Astyanax mexicanus: one gene and its partners. The protein of the gene in region 1 purifies or fractionates together with the protein of each later gene. This does not show direct contact. Links are inferred from orthologs where the notes say so. Each region holds a gene or a part of one and is shown in the gene's direction. Other genes may lie near its edges.

Region 1 (8,076 bases):
AAGAACCCAAAGATCACTGTGGCTGAGCTCCAGGGATGCAGTGGTATGTGTGGAGAAAACCAGGCACTACTCCTCACCTGCCCAATAGAACCCCAACAGCGAAACATGGTGGTGGCAGTATTATGCTATGAAGGTGTTTTTCAGCTACATGTACAGGATAACTGGTTGCAGATGAAGGCAGCCAAGTACAAGGAAAACATCTTCCAGAGTCCTCTGGGCCGAAGGTTCACCTTCCAACAAGACAATGACCCTAAGCACACACCTTAAATAACAAAGGAGTGGCTTCGGAACAGCTCTGTGACCATTCTTGATGACCTAAACCCAATTGAGCATCTCTGGAGAGACAGAGACCTGAAATTGTAAAAACTTGAGAAGATCTGCAAGGATGAATGGCAGAGGATCCCCAAATCCAGGTGTTAAAAACTTGTTAGATCATTCCCGAAAAGTCTCATGGCTGTTCTAGCTCAAAAGGGTGCCTTTACTCAATCTTGAGCAAAGGGTCTGAATACTTATGACCATGTAATATTTCAGATTTTCTTTTTTAATAAATTTGCAAAAATGTCTAAATTTCTTTCTATCAAGGTGGGGTGCTGAGTGTACATTAATGAAAATAAAGTAAAATGGCTGCAAAGAAACAAAGAGTGAAAATTTTAAAGGGGTCTGAATACTTTCCGTACCCACTGTATATATTAGGCGGGAACAGTTTGTTCTTAAAGTGGATGTGTTAAAGCAGGAAAAATGGACAAGCGTAAGAATCTGAGACACTTTAACAAAAACTAAACTTTAAAGTTCTAGACAATGCCTGGGTCAGAACATTTCCAGAACATCAAGCAGGTCTTGTGGGGTGTTCCTGGAATGCAGTGCTTAAACCCTGGCAAAAGTATCCAAGAAAAGACATTCACAATGGCATGAAAATATTATTTTAAATGTTCTCAGAAAGTTTTTTAGAACATTCCTTAAACATTCAGTTGTGAAGGTTAGTGAACATTTTCATAATTTTGGAAAGACGTTCTTATTAGGAAAAAAAGTAGCAACCTTCCCACAACCAAAATGGAACATTAGGAGAATATTCTGGAAATGTCTTTAAATGTTCTCAGAATGTTCTCAGAAATGGTCTGAAAATGTCCAAGTATAATCCAATTCCTTGAACAATAGATTGTCATTGTAAATGACACGTTGAGGTGACTTTCTGGGAACGTTCTCATAACTTTGGAAAAACATTTTGGGAATGTTACGAGGTAACATTCTACAAAGCTAAGCTAATTGTAGTTTAGATTACATTAACATGGAGCAGTCCCACAAACAAAGTGGAATGTTGGAGGAACATTCTGAGAATGTAATTTAAAATGTTTTGAAAACATTCTGAGGTACAACATTCCTAGTACAATACAGCATTTCTAGGACAATAAATTGCCATTGCAAGTAAGGTTGGGGTAAAATAACTTTAGAAAGACATTCTGGGAACATTAAGAATACTGGACATTAATCTGTTGCAAGTACAATGACATGCAACATTCCCACAACCAAAATGGAACTTTTTAAGAATGTAATTTTGAATGTTCTGACTAAGAATGTTCCTAGGATGTTAAACTATCATTGTAAATAAGGTTCAGATAATATTCTGGGAACATTAGTATGCAATATTCCCACATCCAGATATAAAATGTCCCAATACGTTTGTCCATATGGTGTGCACAAAGTACACACTGTTGTATTGATGATATAATAACTGAACAAATCCTCTACGGTGACACACTTCTGTGCATTTCAATACACAATTACTGTTTATTTGTTGAATTGAACAAATGATTAAAATATGAAATACTGTAAAATCTGGCATGTGCAAAGATTCTAATAGGTTAAATTCAGCACATGAACAGTAATTATGTATTAAAATGCACAGAAGCTTAGGGAAATATTTACACATTACTAATTCATTCAACAGCTCCACCAGCACAGAGGCCTAAATCTCATACCTGAGCGCCCTCTTGTGTCTGAGCACTCTGTTAAATTCCAGTGAGAGGCTCTCATTTCTGAATAGCAGTGTTATATAGAACAGTTGTGTGTCTGGGTGCCCTGGTGAGCTGGCATTGTGCTGTTTGTGAACTAAATCTGAATGAGTTTGATCCACACACTGATCCTGGATCCAACTATGTGGTAAATCCTACTATTCTCACAAATCCAGTTCAAGATCAGCTTCTGTTCACAGGGTTAGAGGGTCCCCAGGTAACAAAAAACATTATAAAAATGTTTAGATTAGACAACATTAACATAAGTTATTTGATCAAGTTTAATGCCTAATATCAGGTGTGGGCTAGAGGGTATAAAGCCCCTAGTATTGATCTGTGGAGCAGTGGAACTGTGTTCTCTGGAATGATGGAGCTCCATCTAATACTAATAGATGGGATAAGTTAAGGAGTTGGGGATTAGGTAGGGTGGTGATCATTCAACATCCTAACTCAGGGGTGTTCAAACTTTTTTTGTTGGGGGCCAGAAGGAGAAATATATTTGAAGTCACTTGCCACACTCCGTAATAAAACAAATAATGAAATATACCACTTTAAATAATACTTTTTTCCTGATTATTTCATTTACACACCATTTTACTTGACTTACTATCTTTATATTTGACAGTGTTGTGTAAACTAAGATTTTTTAAATTGATGTTTAATTTCTTGATTTCTCTTAAAATTAAACTCCTTAATTACGGCAACTTTTAGACTCTTTGGCCTGGTTTTCTGCGCTAGAAATGCGCACCCTCTCCGCTTTTAGACTCTTTGGCCCCGTTTTTCTGCGCTTGAAATTTGCACTCTCTCCGCTTTTAGACTCTTTGCCCCATTTTTCTGCGCTAGAAATGCGCACTCTCTCCACTTTTAGACTCTTTGGACTGTTTTTTCTGCGCTAGAAATGCGCACTCTCTCCGCTTTTAGACTCTTTGCCCCATTTTTCTGCGCCAGAAATGCGCACCCTCTCCGCTTTTAGACTCTTTGCCCCGTTTTTCTGCGCTAGAAATGCGCACCCTCTCCGCTTTTAGACTCTTTGGCCTGTTTTTTCTGCGCTAAAAATGCGCACTCTCTCCGCTTTTAGACTCTTTTGCCCCGTTTTTCTGTGCTTGAAATGCACACTCTTTCCGCTTTTAGACTCTTTTGCCCCGTTTTTCTGCGCTAGAAACGCGCACCCTCTCCACTTTTAGACTCTTTGCCCTGTTTTTCTGCGCTAAAACTTCACTCTCTCTGCTTTTAGACTCTTTGGCCCGTTTCTGACACCTAGCGTTCAAACTTAGGTTCTCACATTATAAAAACCTGCTTAACAGCGGGCCAACTTTCATTCTATTTCTAAAACACCTCGCGGGCCGCTCCATAAAAGGAAACGGGCCGCAAAAATATATATATATATATATATATATATATATATATATATATTAGGGGTGTCAACGTTAACGCACGCTGTTAATTTGTAATCAATAACGCGTTTTTTAACGCAAGTTAATTAAGGCGCCAAGTTCGACTCCTACTTCCGCCATAATCTGCCCCGCCCCTGCCCAGCACACTGATCTGTTTTCTGGCTGAACGACTGAACAGTCATACGGTGTCCAGCAGTAACACTCCGGTTCAGACTTCCAGCTCAGACCTGGTTAGAGTTCTCTCTCTCTCATATACTCTCTCATATAAGTTAATTACAGAATTTTGTTGTGATTAATCGGATTTTTTTTAATCGATTGACACCACTATGTGTGTGTGTGTATAGAGAGAGAGAGAGAGAGAGAGAGAGAGCGCTCTGGAAAAAAAAAAATTAAGAGACCACTTCAAAGTAATCAGTTTTTCTGATTTTGTTTTCTACAGGTTTATGTTTGAATAAAATGAACATTGTGGTTTTATTATATAAACTATTGATGACATTTCTTCCAAATTCCAAATAAAAATATTGTAATTTATTTGCAGAAAATGGGAAATGGTTAAAATAACGAAAAAGACGCAGATCTTTCAAACCTTACAGAAGTTCATATTTATTTAGAAACAGTAACAATGCTAAAGTTTTATCTAAGGAAAAGTTCAGAATCAATAATTTGTAGAATAACCATAATTACAGCTTTAATGTGTGTTGGCATTCTCGCCACAAGTCTTTCACACTGCCTTTGGGCGACTTTATGCTTTATGCCACTCAAAAATGGCTCAAAAATTCCAGCAGTTCAGCTTGGGTTGATGGTTTGTGATCATCCATCCATCTTCCTCTTGATTACATTCCATAGGTTTTCAGTGGGGTTGAGCTGGGGGCCGCTGGGGGCAGCAGAGAGCGGGAGCAGGTTGGAGTAAAAGCGGTGAAGGAGAGGAAGAAACAGAGAAGGCGCAAATCCCGCGGCACGAGCTCAGCATGGATTGGTAAATGAATCAATAATCAGTGATTAACAGCGCTGATATTATTATTAATCAGATTTATTAATATTTCGCCTCTCAAACTTAGATTACAACCACTGTACAGGCTGAGCTTCTGCACCAGTACCAAGTTAACTTAACTGTTAGCGATTAGCATGCAGTGCTAAGCTAACTAGCCTAATTGACTGTACTGTACTGTGGGTCTGAGCTCAGACTAATCATCACTGTTTATTTGTTTACTTATTTATCAGTCTGCATGTTTTACTCCTGTACTGCAGCTGTGCTGTGAAGGGGTCTGTATCCACCTAAAATCTGTAGCACTACAGAACTACAGCACAGAGCAGTAATTTCAGCTTTATAGAAGAAGCTGTCAGTTACAGATAGTTTAGATTAAAGTTGAGTTTTCTATAACTTATATTCCACTGATTGTAAATAATTGTTTCATATATAGTGATTGAGTAGAGTTTGGTGTATAACTAATTTAATATTCTGTGACTTTATTAATGTTAAATCTTTACAGCGAGAGGATCAGAATAGATGTAACGTTATTAGTTAAGTGGAATAAGTGACTCCTCATTCTATTATTATATGCAAGTTAAAGGGCCTATACCTGATTCTCGTTTGATATACAAACAGAAACATGTAGGGATTCACCTGATGTTGGGGAAATTAAATGGCTAATTTGGCCAAAAATGACACAAAACAGAAACACTTTCAGTGTTTTTGTTGTGCATTGTGGACATATCTGCTGGGATGTTAAAAATGTTAAGTGCTTAAGTGTTGAAGAGTAACTGTTTATTATACTTTGGGTGTATTGACAAATATCTTTCAGTTATGATTACTTATCTTAGTATCTATAATTACATAATCATTGTGTGAAACCTTGTATTTTATATGCATTAACCAATACTCACCTTACATTTGATCATTTTTACTCACAGTGTATTTTACACGCAATTATATAGAAGATTAACCAATAATCACAATATATTCTTTACATATATAGTAAAACATTGTTTGATCAGGCATGTGACTAACACAGACTCTATTATATGACAAATTAACCCACATGATACATAAGGCATTTACTAACACATAGGATTTATTATATGGCGGACTAACCACGCGTTACTAACACATTAACATATAACATATGAAATCTATTGTGTGACTATTGCGTAGCTCATGCTTGAAGCATTTCGTTCACTGCATGACCCTAACTAACGGTCATCAACTCGACTGGTACACTCGGTAAGAGACTACATTTCTACAGAGGAGGCTTTTAGATCAAAGCGGCCTTCTGTGTGTGGGGGAACCTGCAGCGGCTTCAAAGAGGGGGGTGACGCACACTCACACAGATAGTGCCACGATGTTCCATTCTGGAAGAACACAGTCAAGGCCAAACACTAGTGGTCCGGTCAGACCTGTGAAACTTGAGTACTAACACGTGAAATTATGCATATTAACATGAGCTAATCGTTAGCAACGCCTCATCAGCAGGTTTCACGTCATTTGGGGTATAAAACATGGAGTCAGATCAGAGGGGGGTCAGAACTTATGCTGGGACGGCTGTTAGACGGTCTTTCATGTGTGGGTTCTCCTGAATATTCAGTACTTTGTAATAAATACTTGGTTTGCTTTCAACTTCACTCCACCTGTCTGACTCTCTCTATCAAACGAACACGCAGGGGAGTTGTACCCCGGTCGAGAGGGAGGTGTTGACCCACCTTTCATTTTCTTTTCTACAACAGTGTTCATACATATTCGTAAATTTTAGGTTTGTTATTGCTTTTGACTTTTAATTAAAAGCCTGTATCACACTTTTTTATGTATTTAATTTGTTCTGTAATTGACATTTGACATTTTGGTTTTGGATTTAAAATGAATATTTTAGCCAAAAATGGCAAAATACAAAACTCTTTAGGTGTTCAGCTGAATAAGCCTGAATATTTTTTTCTGAGTGTAAAATTTTAATAAATATTTTTAAGTTGTAAATTTAGGACAAAATATATTCAGACAATTTAATTAATTAATTAAAACCTGTGAATAAATGTTTTATTTATTTATTTGTTCTTTGACCAATTGATAATTTTGGTATTGTTTGTTTTGGTTTGGTTTTATCCAAAAATGTTCACTTTGGTACAACCTTACATAAAATTGAACAGACCTTGCAACAGATTTTATATAAGGCTGCAAAGTCATTTATATGGACAGCAGTGAGGATTGTGCATATTCAAATTTGAACACTGTTACTGTAGAGCATACTGGAAATAGCATTCATCAAAAATAGAGAAGTTTTGTTTGCCAATACATAGACCCTGTAAGTAAAAATATTTTTGGCAGCTTGGGAGTGCTAGGACCTGTTTCCTTAAATCAGGGTGTTAAGATCATGTGAACTGGTCAAGAGAGTTATGATTTGATCCATTTTTTGCTTTTGAGATGCTTTTTAGATCTTAAAATCTGTACAGTTCAGTGTAATATTGATGTTGCCACCATATGCATTATATTAGTAATATATTCGATAATAATTTGCAGATCCAAATGCTTATGTATTTTCCCTGTTGTTTTCTTGTAGGAGCCAGAACTGGTTGAACTCTCCTGTTGTTCGAGACTCGGAGGTGACTCGAGCCGCACGCAGGAAAAGCTCACACAAAAAGGTGGCCTGTATCCTTACCTAAATTTACTGGACTTTGGCTGCTCAGATTGCAGAGCCTGCAGCTGAAGTGACCACTTGCTTTATTTTTCCACTTGGTTAGATTTTGTATAAATCTCTTATCCTCCAGAGCTCATGCAGTCAAACCTCTGCCATGAACCCTCGTCTCAATATTTCTCATCAGGTGTTAAATGTGTCTTGCAAGACTTTAAGTTTGCTTTGTGTGTTTCAATTCTTTACACCATCACTTCCCCAACCTCACTTACTTTCAAGTACAGTTACTCATGATTGGGTATTCACATATTCACAGACCTATTTGTAAGATATGCATATTTATATTTATATTTATATTTTTATGGCACATCGGTCACTTTTATAATCAATGTCATTGCACCTTGCACTTTGCTCTGTTAATTATTTAATGACCGTTAGCAACATCTATTGCACTGCTCGGTTAACAGGTAGATCTTTACGTTGTATAATAAGTTTTTTATAGCTTTGTGTTTTCTATTCTTCTGTGTTTTAATTTATGTTTAACATGTTTCTTATTGTATTGTGCTGTTGCAGCTGGATGCCTACATTTCCTTCGGCATAAATAAAGTATCTATCTATCTATCTATCATATGTTTCACACATATATTTTGAACCCAATATCGAGTCTCATCTTCATAGCCTCGTCATTTTTGTTTTTGCTTTATACTCAAATTTGCTTTACTAAAGTAACTGCTTCATTGCTCCACATGTTGGTGCTAAACTAATGAATAGGGTTGACCTGTGATGAAGAATATTGGATAATTAATTCTGTAAAACTAAAAGATCCATAATTATAATTATTTTTTTAAAGAAGTATTCTGTCCTCTTCAGAAACACATACCTCTAGTGTTTATATGGTATATTTATATATTACTCCATATTATACAGTTCCAGTGCATTGTTTGTTTCTTAACCGTGTGTTCAGTCCCACTTGCTCAGGATGGATCACCTTCAGCCTCCATGGCCACTCCAGCTCGAGCACTGCTGACCCACACTCCCGGGTCACTCTTTAAACAG
Region 2 (8,480 bases), about 21 Mb from region 1:
TTTAATCTTTGGGAAATTTGTTCTTAATATGTTTTTGCAATGTTAATTATCATAATTCTAAACAGATTTGGCTCATTCAAACAGATTTTGGGCTCGATCTAAGCTATCTATCCCCGGGGTCAGCAATAGGCAGCATGAAACATCTGGCCCGTGAGGTAGTTTGAAGCATAATAAACGATAATGAAAAATAATTCAAATAAATGCTTCTCTGGTGAGCTTTTGTTTACATGCCTCCCCGGTGTCTCTCTCTGTCGCGCTCAGCGTGACTTTAGTTTAGTTTCCGCTTGTTTTCATTTTTCCACCCGTTCTTGGGCTCCCTTTTTCCCGGCTGTGTCCCAATTCATTATCCAGAGCAGCGGTAGTGTGTTGGACTGCGATGCTGACTACACGGGTTCAATTCCGCATGAGGAGAGGTGTGTTTGTTTATTTATTTATTTTTTTCCCTTTCTTCTTGGGTTTACCTGCTTTGAGATCAACTGTTCTGCAATTGGGTTCAACAACCCTCTGGGCTGGAGAGCTGCTAGTCTGTAGCACTAAATCCCATTACTCTACATTTTCCACTTCATCTGCTCCATCCTATACTAAAGCCTACCTGTGGGCGGCAGTGGCGAGCTCGGTTTGATGGGGTGGTGGGACACTGAGAGATCATCAGCTCAGCTTCTTCCGAGGCCTCTGCGTTTCCATGCAGAAACTCAAACAGCTGCATCTAGGTGTGAAAACAATACCAGGAATAAGAGACTTTGTTAAATGATGCTCTGCGGAGACGAATGCCAGAACCCGTCCTCGGGGGAGCCGGGCTGACGCCACACACTGCTCTCAGCACTCACTGCGGTGAGAGGATCCTCTGGGTCTTCATCTCGCCTCAACTGCTTGTACGCATTACACACGTCGATCAGATCTACCGTGTTGGTGCGCTTCAGAAAGCTGTCGTACTCTTTACGGATGAGGTCATAATTCTCTGAAGCAGGGGAGCCGTCATGGGACAGGTGGAGCTTGTCCAGAAGCAAGCATTTCCAAGCCACCAGCACGTCGCTCAAAGCCACACCGAAGTCTCCTCTTTCCTAGAGCAAAAGCAGAGACAAGCATCACACGCAAGAACACTACAGGCCAAGCAATGGAAAACTTTACAGTTTAGTTGCACTGGAAGAAGAAGAAGAAGAAAAAAACCTTCCCATTTATCTACAGGATCTCTCTTCCTTTAGTTTAAGAGAAAATATATCATCAAAGATGAGTTTTTGATTTTACCAAATTAAAAACCTCTGGAATATAATCAAGAGGAAGATGGATGATCACAAACCATCACACCACCAAACTAAACTGCTTGAATGTTTTGCACCAGGAGTAAAGCAGCATAAAGTTATCCAAAAGCAGTGTGTAAGACTGGTGGAGGAGAACATGATGTCAAGATGCATGAAAACTTTTCTTATTTGAGCCATTTCTCATTTTCTGCAAATAAATGCTCTAAATTACAATATTTTTATTTGGAATTTTGGAGAATTTATTTTCTCAAACATAAACCTATAAAATAGCAAAATCGGAGAAACTGAAGTGCTCTCTCATTTGTTTTCCCAGAGTTGTATATAGTTATTCACATCAGAAAAAAATGACCAAAAAAAAAACCTTTCAAATTCTCCAAAATGGAAAAAAAAAAAAATTGAACATAAAAATACACAAGGCTCAATGATTCCAAATCATACATAGATGCTCAAATAACATTCAACTGAATCTCTATTAAATGCAACTGAACTCTGTAAAAGTAAATGATTCTCTATTGAATGTAACTCAACACCTAACTCTAATCTTAACATTTTTTAAAGTTTAGGTTTAGGTTTTAGTGCTGATTCACAGTTGAGGTTAGGATTGAGTGTAGTGTTAGCTTCTACAGAGAATCGTTCACATTCAGTTTAGGGTTAAGATGCATTTAATAGACGTTCATTTAAATGAAATGCAATTTTTTCCCCTCAATCTCTGAAATGTAACATTGGCCGGTTGCAACACAAATTCTTGTGCCTAAAACACAATCCATCCTCCCTAATGATGATGGTGGGATCGATGTAAAAGGTTATCTGAGGGCACAAACATCTGATCACAATAATAATGATTATACTTAATACCCAAAAATAAAATAAACTCCTTAGCTTTATGTTTTTGGCATGAGACAGTATACTCACAGTTTGTTTCTTTTTTTATTAACAAATAAAGAAAGAAAAATAAAACAAAATCACTGCAGGTTTCCAATGTATACCCAAAGCATGGGTAACTATGCCCCCATCACTAGCATTGTAAGTCTGTTGGGAGCATCGGCTAAAAGCTCTGTATTTGGGAATTCTGGGGGTGAATGAAGGTGGAGTATTTGCCTAAAAAACAACTGTACATGTCATCATTATTCACTACAAACAAAGTCTATTTTACACCAGACTTCTCCTTTAATCTTTAATAAGAGCTCAATTCTGCTAGAGACAATCAAATCACTCTTAATATATTGTATTTAAATAAGTATATAAATCTTTATGCACAGTTTTTGTAGACAATAGACATTACCTGTTTGCAGACTTCAGCAGCAGAAAGCTGTAGAACCATCAGCATGCTGTCTGCTCCATGTATGATGGTTCTCTCAGAGTCTAGAACCCGGTGGCACTCTCTTCTGAAAACTCGGACCACTGTTTTCAGGCTCAACTCGACGCTCCCCATGATCTTTAAAAATGTGACATTACATAAGTTCATTACAGGCCTTCAATTCTTTAATATTGAAAAGTATAGGTTTATGCTTGAGTAAAATTAACAATGTTGTTTTATTCTATAAACTACAGACAACATTTCTCCCAAATTACAAATAAATATATTGTCATTTAGAGCATTTATTTGCAGAAAATGAGAAATGACTGAAATAACAAAAAACATGCAGAGCTTTCAGACCTCAAATAATGCAAATAAAACAAGTTCATATTTATAAAGTTTGAAGAGTTCAGAAATCAATATTTGGTGGAATAATCCTGTTTTTTAATTACAATTTTCATGCATCTTGGCATCATGTTCTCCTCCACCAGTCTTACACACTGCTTTTGGATAACTTTATGCTGCTTTACTCCTGGTGCAAAAATTCAAGCAGTTCAGTTTGGTGGTTTGATGGCTTGTGATCATCCATCTTCCTCTTGATTATATTAGAGAGGGTTTCAGACCACTTAAAAATTATGAGTTTCTTTGATTTTATCAAATTGAAAACCGCTGGAATAGGTTGAAGTTATCCAAAAGCAGTGTGCAAGACTGGTGGAGAAGAACATGGTGCCAAAATGCATAAAAAAACTGATTACAAACCAGGGCTATTCCACCAAATATTGTTGATATTTCTAAACTCTTAAAACTTTATGAATATGAACTTGTTTTCTTTGCATTGTTTGAGATCTGAAAGCTCTGAATTTTGTTATTTCTCATTTACTGCAAATAAATAAATTTTTGGGGGAAAATTTGGGAGAAATGTCTATAGTTTATAGAATAAAACAACAATGTTAATTTTACTCAAACATAAACCTATAAATAGCAAAATCAGAGGAACTGATTCAGAAACTAAAGTGATTATAATCTTTACAGGTACAAAACACATAGGTACAAAGAAAGCGTTTCACTGAAAGGTAACGTTACTTTATTGTACCTCAATATAAGGTAGAGGCACAGTTTCTTAGAGTGTAGTTCTCTGGATAAAATCACATAAATACATAAACAGTCACCTTATTAACGTTACTTTAACAGATCACACAAAGCTATAATCTAGATCAGCTAATCTGCAATAAAACTTACCGCACGTGTTCTTTCAGAGAGAGGTTAATACTGTGTTTAGAGAGCGTTAGTTAAAACTTTATCCTGTTCCTCTGAACTGTAGCAGCTGTGCTGTGTTACTGTCCCCAAACCCGTCTTAAAATTTAAATCCACAGGAACACGCACGTCAGCCAATCAGATTCAAGTACCCGTTGTAGCCGCGCCCCCTTTTCAGAGAGCGCGCTACTGAGTAGCGCCTGCAGTGATGCATCATCCTGTAGTCCGCTCATGTTTATAGTCCTCGCATATTTGGTGTTCCGTGTCTAGGAATGCTTTCTTCATTTTATTTTATTGTACAATGCTATGCATTTATATTTTTCACAAATGTCGATTTAATCCTACGTTAATGATCCACTTTAATATTTGGAAGATTATTATTATTTGTTTTTTTTTTTATAAAACGACAATTCCCTCAAATTGCTCATTTCAATTAAGATCCATTGTGGTGTAAAGTAAGATAACACTTTGATATTATATGTGTTTTTAATTTTAATGTGCTTAGTATCACCCTGTAAAAAACTTAATATAAAATCAAACATCACTGACAAATTCGGTTTGGACTGTGTGTCTCTGCACTCCTCCTCCAGACTCTGGTCCCAAAAGAAGATTTTCAAAAGAAATGTAAAATTTACTCCACGGTGTTATATTAAGTCCAAAGTTAGTGTAGTGTTCTCCCAGAAACTTTTACCACAATTCATGCTTCCCAAGAAGCGGATTTCATTTTCCAGCAGGACTTGGCACACTGCCCACACTGCCAAAAGTGCCAATTGGTCTTATATAATATTCTAATTTTCTGAGACACTGATTTTTTGGGTTTTCATTGGCTGAAAGCAACAATAAAAGAAATAAACACATACAATAGATCACTCTGTGTGTACTGAAATAAAGTAAGTTTTAAATTATATTCTATTTTTTTACATGCACTAGTATGTATATATATATATATATATATATATATATATATATATATGAAGTGAAAATCGCATACAGAAAAAAAGACCATAATTTAGCTAGATTATAAATCCTGTAGTGGAAACCATGCAGGCGCTATTTGAGGGGTTTGTTTGATCTACAGATCATCTGCTGTACTGGATGTACTGTGGTATAATTTGTAGATCAGTGAAAGCGCGCAGTCTGCGCAGACTCCTGTTCTAGGCGGGGAAAGAGTTGCAGGACCCGGATGTAAACAGTGAACCGGTTTGAACGTGGTGGAGGGCGCGTTGGGTTTAATAACTCTGGGATTATTATTAATTCAGTCAGTAAACAGGGCTCTGTGGGATTAATATGTGTTTAATATAACTATAATTTTCGGCTCAGTCTTTCTCACTGCCTACAGTTAATGCTCTCCGCCTTAAACTGAGTAAGTTGCTAAGCTATCTATCAGTACCAGTGTGTCACTATAGCTAATGCTAATGCTGAGAGTGAGTCTGAGTAATTAGCTAGTTAGGTTAGCTAAACTGGGCTGGGTTACACCGATTTTTGCGTACGTTTCTTCTTAAGTTTGTGAGTAAAGTTTTACTGAGTCTTTAGTTACGTTAGTTACTATTTTTTTTTAAATCTGTCTGCAACATAAACCCGTATGTTGTATATTAATCCTTTATGCATGCACTACGTACGTCTCTCTCTTCTCTTTAGAACCCTCACATCTCTTGGTGCAGCTATAGCTGCAAAAAAAAAAAACAGCAAAAGCAAACCACCTGTCCTTTTTTCACCTCCTGGACCTGAACATGAACTTCAGAGCAGCTGTTTACTCTCCACTCCAGCAAAAGATGCTCCACATATGAGCTGCTAACTCATCCATTTATAACCCTTTATAAAGCTACGAGTCTCTCGTCTCTCTAATTTAAGTTTTTTTTATATATACAGGTATCAATTCACATTACATACAGATACATATCACTTACATTTGTTAATGTTAAACAAATCTTTTTTAACCCTTAACCTTCTTAACCCTTTCAAACCCTTTGTCTATTATAGTGGACATCACGTATTATTATTACTATTCTTTTATTTATTTATTTTTTGAACTGTTCTATTCTATTGGAATAGAGCATGAACCAGCCAATGATGTTTTATATATTTTTTTTCATCACTGGAATATAACTCAGATCTGAAAGGGTTAACTAGTAAAAACGTATTAATGCATGTGCAGAGTTAGTTACAGATTGTCACAGATTGTTGCCAAGAAAATAAGGTTGTCAACCAGCATAGATGTGTTTACAATGTATGGAAAAATATTTAAGTAGTTATCACAGCCTTAACAGCATGTTTTATTGGGTAATATATGGCATAATGTAAAGTTTATAGTGTATATGGGTTGTACTTAGGGGTGGGCGATATGGCTCTAAAATAATATCACGATATTTCAGGGTATTTTTGCGATAACAATATACTTGGCTGTATAGGAAAACAGAAAAATAATTAATTAATTTCAGGAATATAGTATAATAGTATAACAGTATAATCATGATGTGGCAAAATAAATGATATAGCATAAAATAATATAATGCAGCAAAAAATATTGCAGTATATTTTCATGCATATAAACTGCAAACAAAAACTATAAACTAAAACAATTATACAATAAATACACCTAAAGCTTCACAGTAAATAATGGACTACTTTTAAGACAAACCATCCCTATTATCACGATATGGATTTTTAATATCATGATATTTCTGTGTCACGATATATTGTATACGATATAATCTTGCCCACCCCTAGTTGTACTGCTATTTTATTAATGTTATTAATGTTGTTTCCTCCTGCTAGAAGCTCCAAAGAACCTATATACACACATATTGGTTTTCATTTAGTTTTAGTTATAACTTTCTTCTGCTGCTCAGAGTTAGGTGTAAATATTTAGTCGCTACTCAATATTGTACAGTATTTTTAATCTAAAATACTGAGTCTGATGGCTAACTTGTTTCTATATTTGTGCTTTTGTTATTTTTCCTCCAGTAGTTAAACTAAAGACCAACAGGAGAGCTACAGTTGATGCAGAATCAGAATGCAGGAGGATCCGAGTCGCTCATCTACCTACACCGTACCCTGTGAAGACTACGTCCACGTGGTGGAGTTCAGCCCGTACGACTGCGGCTCTGCAGCTTCTCTCCTGGCGTACGGGGGGAATCAGTATGTAGTGGTGGGCACCTGTCGCTTTAAGGTAAGAGCAGTGTTTAATGTATGGAGTTTTTTTTTTTTTTCACACACAGGAAATTTTACATTCTGTAAAGTTTAAGTAAATGAAAGACTGTTTGTCTTTGCAGGAGGAAGATGTGGAGGTAGAAGGAGTAGAATTTAACACTTTACGTGCCTTTGTGCACGGGGTTCGTGTGGATGCTCTTGCATGGAGTCCAGAGACGAGGTTGGATAAAATACCCCAGATTATCAGGTATATAATGGCAATAATATGTCACACATTTTTAAATATCGTGAATCCTGAAATATCGTGCCATATTACCCATCCCTAATTATCACATGAGGGTACTGGTACTACTTTTAGACTGTTTTTAGCAAAAGAAAAATTCACACTGTTCTAATTTCCCACTATATATCTACTAGAGACAGATTATATCTGTCCAGTATCATTTATTTTACTTTAATCCTGGATATCTGGAGATATCTGGAGTGCATTATTATTATTAGTATCATGACATTATGGATCAATGACTGGATCTGTTACAAATCTGATAAAAGGCTTGTAATTTTTTATATCTCAGTTAGAGGTGTGCCATATCATATTGGATGCAATCATAAAATGTAATTTTCATTTTGTTACAGTATTGTATTCTTAAAGTATTTTTTTAATTCAGTTTTTTTTTTTTCATATCGTTACCTCGAAAATATCATAAAATATCGTGATATTATTTTAGGACCATATCGCCCACCTCTGCAATGCACTGTGTAAATGTACAGTTTAGTGCAAGAATGCGAACTGCTTAAATACACATTAAATAATGTCTGTTGCTTTATTAAGTACAGCACAAAATCAGAAAAAAAGTTGAGACAGTAAGTAAAATATTTTGCAATGCAGTGTGTCAAACACTTTACAATAAAGGTGCATTTACAACTAATAATTATTAAGTGTTAACATTTTTAAGCGTTAAAATGTATTGATGTTTAATGGTATTGTCTTAACTAGTGTCTGTTAATAATGTATTGAGACATTAATGAACCATTTAACAATATTTATTACTGTCTAAGTTTACGTACTGTTATTTGTGACTTTATCTGATTCCAGACAGTATGAACCCAAGATAAATTTCATGTTTCATCTACTCAACCTTATATATATATATGTGTGTTTAGGGTTTCGGTCTCGTTTTCTGGCTGCATGATGAGATTTCTTTTCATTAGCCTGGATGCATCTGATTCATTAAATAATGCTGATAATCAATCCGGCGGCACATTTGCTGTTAATGTTCCAGATTTTGCACTGCTGCAGGTGACCGAAAGTTAAGGCTGTTTACTTCAGATCTTCAGAACCGGCATGAAGTAAAGGTAATTTATCCATTCTTTAAGCACATAGATGCACATATGCAAAACTACACCAATACAAAGCCAATGTGATTTAAAACAAGTGATTTGTTTCTGGGTTTTTATTTTTATTTTTTAAATAACCCTCTATGGCATGTATTATATTTTTGGAGAGAAAAAAATACATA
Region 3 (8,543 bases), on another chromosome or scaffold:
TGCAGCGCTGCTGTTTCAATAAATATATAAGTAAATTTGAAGCATTAAATGTAGTTTATTTAATTTATATTAGGAACGTGGGGCGGGAGCGGCAGAAATGTGTATGTGGCGGGCGGGCGCGGGATTAAAAGAAGCAATTTTTTTGCGGAGCGGTAACGAGACAGAAACGCGGGAGCGTGGAAGAGTGGGTTTAAAAATCAGTCTCGCGCAGACCTCTATTATACATGATAAAAAAAAAACGAAACTGATTTATATAATAAAACGTAAGGGGTAATGTGGCAACAGTAGGGGCTAAATCGGTTACAAAAGCCTGGCCTACAAAAATGATGTCTGAACGAATTTCCTCTTATCTAATATAATTTAAAATGGTTTAAAAATATAAAATAATTTCTAAGCAAACGAAATATTTAATATTGAGCTTATAGCCCAAGTGCAAAAATACAAAATCAGTAATACGGCTATGCCCTGCACAATGCTTAAACCGAAATAGACCAAGTACAATAACGTCATTAACAATGACTTTCCTCTACTCTAATATAATTTAACATGGTTTAAAAATATAAAATAATTTCTAAACAAACGAAATATTTAATATTGAGCTTATAGCCCAAGTGCAAAAATACAAAATCAGTAATATGCCCTGCACAATCCTTTAACCGAAATAGACCAAGTACAGTTTACAATGACTGTCCTCTAATATAATTAACAATGTTTAAGAATATAAAATACTTCCTGAACAAACGTTTTTTTTGTTTGTTTTTTTAAGCAAATAGCCTAAGTGTGAAAACACAAACAGCAATTTACTGGGCTGGCTTGCGCAGCGGAGAAACCATGCAGCAGCAGCCTCCTAGCCTGCTTACGCAGCGGATAAGCCGCGGTGTAGGGCAGCAGAAATTCCGGGATGAAAACACAAAGAAATCTGGGGTGAAAACACAAAAATCCGGGATAAAAACACCCAAAATCCGGGGTGAATATGTCTTGTCGGTCAGAGCAAATTGAAAATTTTTCAGTGGATTAAAGGGGCCGTGATTTCCTTTTTTTTTTTTTTTTTTACCTCTTATTTTAAAAACGAATATTCGAATATTCGCTTCGAATCAGTGCCGAATATCCGGAGCTCAAAAAACGCTATTCGGGCCAGCCCTACTAAAGTAAAAGTATTTCTGGATACGCCACCATTCATCTCTGTAGAAAAGTTTATTTTTATGTTTATAAACTTGAGTATTGGGTGTCAGTGATCATTCATTTTTATTTGATTTTTTTGCTGAACTAGTCCTTTAATGTCATTTTCTCATGCCAGTACAGTTACAGTATAGAAGACACTGCACCTAAAACAGAAACCATCAAGTAAAGCTGATACAATTTATTAGAAAAAACACATTTATCCATATTTACTGTTAAAAAATATTATATAATATTAATAATTTTAATACACCTGTGGCCATAGATCACAAATTAAAAACATAAAACTGGCTGACTGTCCACTGCAGATGGATACTGAAAACACTGAAATATTATTTTGATTAGAGCCTTAAGAGAATGACAGGTGTTGCACCTTATGCTGTAATGAAATTCTGTAACTTGTATTAGTTTCACAGAGAACAATTCAGCAAATCATCTCCTAGTTTTGTAAAACAGTATTACACAGCCCTATGAAACATTATATTTTCTTTCTGACTACAATTTGCCCTGTTGTCTTATTAACATTACACTATAAATCATCTTGCACTTTAAATATTAGGAAGGTGTTGGTTATGAACAAGTTATCCACGTTTATTTAACTGCGTTTCAGAGCAGAGCAGTTTCTGCAAATAACTGCTCTAAATGACAATATTTTTATTAGAAATTTGGCACGAATTGTTGTCTGAGTAAAATAAACATTGTTTTATTCTATAAACTACAAACATATACCTATAAATTGCAAAGTCAGAGAAACTGATACAGAAGCTGAAGTGGTCTCGTATTTTTTTCAGAGATGTATCTTCTAGCGTTAGCTATCTTAGCTTAGCTTAGCTAATTCACTTTACACTAGCGCTACATACACTCCATGAACATAGTTTTAGCTTAGCGTAGCCAGGTAGCAAAAGTACCAGTCAGCATGAATTCAGGATTAATGACACTGAACACTAAATCAACTGGCGGTATCATTGGACATGTTCTTGCCTTAAAGTTTGTGTGGCGGCTGCTGTTGGGGGTAGGCTAAAGGCGCTAGCTTAGCTTAGTTTAGTCAGTTTCACTCCTTGAGAGATTTGGGAACTAGCTAAGCTAACGCTAGCTAAGTTAGCAAAGTTAGCTATGAGGCACATATTTAGGTTACGTTGCAGGTGTTTACAAAGGGAACTAATTTGGGTTAGTGCATTTCCAGTGGTATTTCATGCGACTGTAATGGTAAAATCCACACCGTTCACTATGGTTTTCGAGATGTTAGCGTTAGCTAGACAACATTGAAGGAGTTCAAAAAGGCAGAGGGGAAACGCTTTTTCATAAATTAATATTATACTGTGTCAGCAGGCAAACCGTGCAGTACCAAATATTTAGCTTGCTAGCCAGTATTGCTCATTATATTAAGGTTCACTGAGGATCCTCTGCTACCAGTGTGAGTAAATTACAAGTAGAACCTAGCTAGCGTTAAAGTTAACGTTAGGTGAACCTAGCTAGCTAGAGATAGCTAAGCTAACCTAGGTTAACCAGGTTAGATGTGTAAAATACAGTGTCCCGCTTTTCTCTTTCTTTCTCTAAAAACAGGAATTAACCTACATCTCAAACATGGATACATTCAATAAAACTAAACATTGTGTAACCTACTAAAGCTTAAAGCGATTTTTTACTATTTAGCTAGCTAGGCTAACGTTAGCTAACACATATCAGAATTTAGTTTGTTATGTACTGATATGTCTGGTTAATGCAGAGTTTACACTAAACAGTTTTAATAGTTAATAGCTAACCTAGTTAAAGTTTTAAATAAACAGTGCCCTGTCAATCATCTTAGTCTTCTTATAAACGTAGTTTGTAATAGAGAGCATGCACTTTGATGGCTGCAATTTGTTATTATGCCGATTCTCAGCATCTATATTACCTACCCCCTACCCTATCCCAGTCATCAAGTTTTTTATTTTATTTAGTCAGCCTTAATTGCGGTACACTGGAATGACACGCGTAAAAAACACATTCAGCTAGTACACAGCTGATAATGAAGATGTGGAAGTTGAGAGTAAGAAAGTAGCAGAATCAACAAAAACCCTTACATTTAGTTTTACACTGACATTAAGCTTAACTAAACTAAGTTAAATATCTCACTGTTCAGTAACTTAACTTACCTAGGTTAGCTCAGTACAGCTGACTATTTGAGAAAGTACTGCTAGTAGAGTAGAGTCACGCATGTGTATAATTTGCTAGTTTAATATTAAACTCAGCTATAAGGTTGGTTAATAAACAGAATTTTAATGCTCGAAAAAATATTTACCATGTAGAGGTTATGCCACCGGCCTTCTGAATCGATGTCCTGAAACTCGTGGTCCATTTCTCTGTTTATTCAGACTCTAGTCCGGTATAATAGAAAATAAACAGCCCTATCATAAAGGATCAGTCATTTCTACCGCCGACATTAAGCCACGAACATAAAAAAAATAAATAAAATAAAAACACACACGCACACACTCACTCACACACTCCACTCTCTCTCTCGGTCCGGGTTTCCCGTGTTTGACATCTAGCTGACTGAATTGCGCAGCAAATCGGCGCTCCATTTGCGCAGACCAGCGAGCAAAACAGAAAATAAAAGTACAACTCCAAAAAAAGAAAAAATACGTAGAATTATTTAGACACCAAACTCCAACTATCTGAAACTGCAATAGAAATATTAAAATGTGTATTTTTAAAATATATTTATTTTGACAAGAAAATACCTTTTAGCTTATACCGCTCCCAAAATATGTTAGCCAAAATATGCACTACAGCCGTTTGTTACGAATCAAATTATGTGTAAAAAGTTAACTAGAAGCACAAAGCAGGCACAAAACAAATTTAAACATTGAAATTTTTTTCATTTTAGTGTTTTTGCTCTTTTAATAACCATTACAAATAAAATAAATTATTTAAAATAGTAAGGGGATTAAATAAAAATATGTACTGTATATGAACTAATAATAAAAACAACTGATTAAAACATATTTTTTTTCTATATGCTTAAAGTAAACTCAATATGAAAGTTATTTACAGAGTCCAGAAACCAATCTTTTAAATATTACTGCGCCACTTTTCGCTTTGTGTAAAATCACCCCAGTCCAGCGGGTGGCGCCTAAACATTTCCAAAAGAATCTAAGTTGGAAAGTGATATAAAAATAAACATACATTTTACAAATGAAACTGTAAAAATAACGACAAAATACTCGTTAATAATAATCTTACACTTAAAATAAATGTTAAAGTAAAAATACAGTTCAATGTAATGTAACTAGTACAACCTGCACATAAAATGAAATGTACATGAAACAAAAAGTAAAAGTATAAATGAAAGTCCAAAATGTTGTGAAACAAAAACATAAACTAGGAAAAGTATCGAAATAGAGTAATCTATTTTTTTTTATTGGAAGACTTCTGATCTACAAAACTGTAGGGAATTACCAAATTGTAAGACAGCAATGTATTATGAAACAACACATTTACTCAATTAATATACAAAACATAACAATAACATAACAGAATGAATTATAAATTATAATATTTATAAAGCATTATTGAAAACAGGCAATAACAAACTGGCAATAAAAATAATTAGTTCACTTCATTAGTGTGGTTATCTTTATGTAAATTGTAAGGATCTTTAGCAATTTTAGATTTCATTGATTTTAGGGAGTTGAATTTCTTTATGGTAGCATATAAAGATGTGTGGTGTTTTTTTATACGTTAAATCAATAAAGCATTGATTAAAAGCTCCACCTTTGGATATTCTACTATGACAATTATTGTAATATTAGAGTCTAGATTGTGGAGTTCAGACCGAGGCGCTGTCGGGCTGCTGTTGCTCCTCCAGTCCTACTGCTCTGAGAGCGGCGCTGCTGAGTCTCTGACTGGCAGGAAACAGCAGTGAGCGGTAAAATGGCGCATTGCTGAGCGACCCGCCAGAAGTGAGCAGAAACATTAAAAAGTTTAAAGCGGTGTTCTGTATTTACTCTGTTTCTGAGAGCGAACAGGGATTCAGTGTTTTCACAGCGATCAGGAACGGAGAGTAGAGGAGCATGTTTGTGGCGCGAAGCATCGCTGCAGATCACAAAGATCTGATCCACGATGTTTCCTATGATTTCCACGGCAGGAGGATGGCGACCTGCTCCAGCGACCAGAGCGTGAAGGTAAACACACCCCTTCACTTTATTCACCTATATTCACCCCCCTTTTAACTTACCATATGTATGGAATGCAGCCAAATTTTACAGAGCATATAGGTACCTCAGAATGTATGTTGTTAATGCTAAAAGCAGAACAGAGAAGAGCGAAATTCATCGTTTCTAAAAATGAATAGCTATATTCGTTCTCACAATGTTTTTTGTTAAACAAAAAGGTGACAAGAGTCTTCACATTCATTTCTAAGGTAGAAGTATAGATACTGGGGTTTAAAGTACTTCTGTAACAGTTAGAAGTTTTAACTCAAGTGTAAAAGTAATGCTTTTAAAACTACTTAAAGTATAAAAGTAATGTAAGGGGGGAAATGCCATTAAGGACAAAAGTATAGGTTGTGTTATAGCAGCCTATAGTTAACTACTCCCTGCTCCCCAAAACACATTTTTGTAAAAGCCATAATGACTATAATGTAGGGGTGTGCCATATCGTATCGTACGTGATAATATCGCCAAACATTTTGCCCTGAAATATCGTGACATATCACCCACCCCTAATTATCACATTAGGGTGCTCCTTTTTGTGCTGTTTTTAGCAAAAGAAAAATTCACACTGTTCTCATTTCGTATTATATAGCTACTAGAGACAGATTAGATCTGTCCAGTATAATTTATTTTACTTTAATCCTGAATATTTGGAGTGCATTATTAGTATCATGACATTCTGGATCATTTACTTCTGTTATAAATCTGATAAAATAATATATATATATATATATTTTTATCTTAGTTAGCCATATCATATTGCATGCAGCTAAATATTTTTTCTAATTTAGTGTTTTGTCATATCGCCAAAAGTATCACTATCGTGAAAATACCATGAAATATTGTGATATTTTTTTAGAGCCATATCGCCCACCCCTACTATAATGTTATATTGAAATGTTAAAGTTAAAAATCTTGAGATACGCATATATGCCCATTAAAATAGTTGCATTTAAGTGCATTTTGAATATTTTCAAGTAGCTTAGGTAGGACAGTTTGGTCAAGTTTGTTTATTTATTTATTTTATATACAGATCATCTTCACACTAGATGGAGAGAGTTATAAGGATAGGGTTTTTTTTAATGATGAGAAGCCAGAGGGAAAAACAAGCTGAAATTAAATATGAATAATGAGGCTATTTTAAAAATGGAAGGAGTAGAAGTAAAAAGTTGTTTAAAAAATAATTACTCCAGTAATGTATAGATTAGAAATTTCTGCATAAGTAAGGCAACAAAGTATTTGTACTTCATTACTTGAAACCTGTTAGTTTATGGGTTTCTGAAGCATATTTCAGTAGATTTGTAAAGATAAATATTACTGTAAAATCGAGTAAGATCTTTTAAAATATGATTAACAGAAATGTTTGTCTTGCTTGAAGGTTTGGGACAAAAGTGACGATGGAGAATGGCATTGCACAGCCAGTTGGAAGGCAAGTTTTTAATTTTACTACCTTTTGTTCATATCTAAAAAAGTACACAAACCTACAGATTGGGTATTAAATTATGCACAAGTTATGCTTTAACAGTAACATTGGGTTTGGTTTCTGTTGGTTTCTTTTCAGACCCACAGTGGCTCAGTGTGGAGAGTGACGTGGGCTCACCCAGAGTTCGGACAGGTGCTGGCGTCCTGCTCTTTTGACCGCACCGCAGCAGTGTGGGAAGAAATAGTCGGCGAATCCAACGACAAACAGCGAGGACTTAGTCACTGGGTAACACATCTAATAATTTACTCATTTATAGTAGCAGTCATTTTGGAGCCTGAATTGTGTCTGCACTGGTGTTCACATTACAGTAACATTTGTAGTACAGTGTCATAAAACAAATAAGCAGGTCTGCTGGAGATTCCTTTCCAACAACTACACATGGTTTGAAGTACATTTCTAATGATTTGGGTATGATGCTGTATATTAGGATCTAAGCTTCCATTTTTTTTCTTAGATACATTAACCTCATAGTGTAAAGAACCGTCCAGCCTTCTCCCATGTTTTTAAAGCTGTGAATAGAGATAAGGTGTGTAAACTTCTTCTGCAATGCTTTACAAGTATAAATACGAAATTGGGGTGCTGAGTGGTCCAGCGGTCTAAAGCGCTGCCACTATGACCGGGAGGTCGCCGGTTCGAAACCCCGCTCATGCAGCTTTGCCATTAAGCTGTCGGCGCTTAGAGGGAGCACAATTGGCCCTGGCCCTGCTCCTTCTGGGTGGGTAGATGGCGCTCTCTCCCCACATCATTCCTACGGTGATGTCTGCAGCACAGGGCGTCTGTGAGCTGATGTATTGCCGAGCTGGCTGCTCGGCAATGCTGCATCAGCAGCAGCTCGAAAAGAAGCGGTGGCTGACTTCACATGTATCGGAGGAGGCATGTGTTAGTCTTCACCCTCCTGGTGTGTTGGGACATTACTAGTGATAGGGGGAGTCCTAATGAGTGGGTTGGGAAATTGGCCATGTAAATTGGGGAGAAAATGGGGAAAAATTTGAAATAAAATTATATTAAAAAAAAAAAAAAAAAAATTGTACAGTAGAGCTCTCTGTGATGTTTGAGATTTGTCACCAGTAGTAAAATACAGCGGTCTGTGATGAATGCCATTTGCTGGTTTTAGTATTGAAATATTGATTTCATGTCCGTAATCAGTACTGATTAGAATCTCATCATGCAGATCAAGAGAACAACTTTGGTGGACAGCAGGACTTCAGTAACAGATGTGAAGTTTGCACCAAAGCACATGGGCCTGGTGCTGGCCACTTGCTCTGCAGATGGAGTGGTGCGCATTTATGAAGCTCCAGACGTGATGAACCTTAGTCAGTGGAGTCTGCAGCACGAGATATCCTGCAAGCTCTCCTGCTCCTGCATCTCCTGGAACCCCTCCAGGTGTGTGTTTATGTATTTTGTGTGTTACCATGGTAAACCAAGGGGTTGATCCAGTATTTGCATGTGTTTTACAGTTTGTTGCAGATGTAACTCGGCTTCGGCTTGATAATCAGCCGAAAAAAACGTTTTTCAAACATTCTGACAATATTATTTACAGTAGTTTGGAAAACTATGTAATTAGCAGGAGATAAATATTCTGTATTTCATTTTTTAAATCAAAGCTTGTGTGTGTTCTGTCATTCAGCTCCCGTGCTCATCCTCCTATGATCGCTGTGGGTAGTGATGACAACAATGTGACCTAC

The links. The genes of interacting proteins can lie anywhere in the genome.
Region 2: the proteins of nup107 (region 1) and nup37 purify together in Homo sapiens (affinity purification with mass spectrometry; 7 studies listed by BioGRID and IntAct, with this or other methods). This does not show direct contact. The link is inferred for Astyanax mexicanus from reciprocal best matches to the Homo sapiens genes NUP107 and NUP37.
Region 3: the proteins of nup107 (region 1) and seh1l purify together in Homo sapiens (affinity purification with mass spectrometry; 5 studies listed by BioGRID and IntAct, with this or other methods). This does not show direct contact. The link is inferred for Astyanax mexicanus from reciprocal best matches to the Homo sapiens genes NUP107 and SEH1L.

Annotation. Positions count from the first base shown.
Region 1 is NC_064409.1:23,502,216-23,510,291, reverse strand, and holds the start of nup107 (nuclear pore complex protein Nup107), read left to right. Parts: upstream 1-4,275; 5' UTR 4,276-4,371; coding exon 4,372-4,379; intron 4,380-6,948; coding exon 6,949-7,037; intron 7,038-7,984; coding exon 7,985-8,076. UniProt on the Homo sapiens protein: Plays a role in the nuclear pore complex (NPC) assembly and/or maintenance. Required for the assembly of peripheral proteins into the NPC. May anchor NUP62 to the NPC. Involved in nephrogenesis.
Region 2 is NC_064409.1:2,712,239-2,720,718, forward strand, and holds the start of nup37 (nucleoporin Nup37), read left to right. Parts: upstream 1-4,980; 5' UTR 4,981-5,173; exon of another isoform or gene 5,174-5,316; intron 5,317-5,463; exon of another isoform or gene 5,464-5,679; intron 5,680-6,774; exon of another isoform or gene 6,775-6,777; 5' UTR 6,778-6,823; coding exon 6,824-6,979; intron 6,980-7,082; coding exon 7,083-7,207; intron 7,208-8,243; coding exon 8,244-8,316; intron 8,317-8,480. Other genes in the region: PCNA-interacting partner, read right to left, coding at 593-706, 828-1,061, 2,542-2,691. UniProt on the Homo sapiens protein: Component of the Nup107-160 subcomplex of the nuclear pore complex (NPC). The Nup107-160 subcomplex is required for the assembly of a functional NPC.
Region 3 is NC_064410.1:33,193,407-33,201,949, forward strand, and holds the start of seh1l (nucleoporin SEH1), read left to right. Parts: upstream 1-5,043; 5' UTR 5,044-5,234; coding exon 5,235-5,345; intron 5,346-6,753; coding exon 6,754-6,804; intron 6,805-6,936; coding exon 6,937-7,083; intron 7,084-8,029; coding exon 8,030-8,241; intron 8,242-8,485; coding exon 8,486-8,543. Other genes in the region: ptpn2b (tyrosine-protein phosphatase non-receptor type 2), read right to left, coding at 3,461-3,517. UniProt on the Homo sapiens protein: Component of the Nup107-160 subcomplex of the nuclear pore complex (NPC). The Nup107-160 subcomplex is required for the assembly of a functional NPC.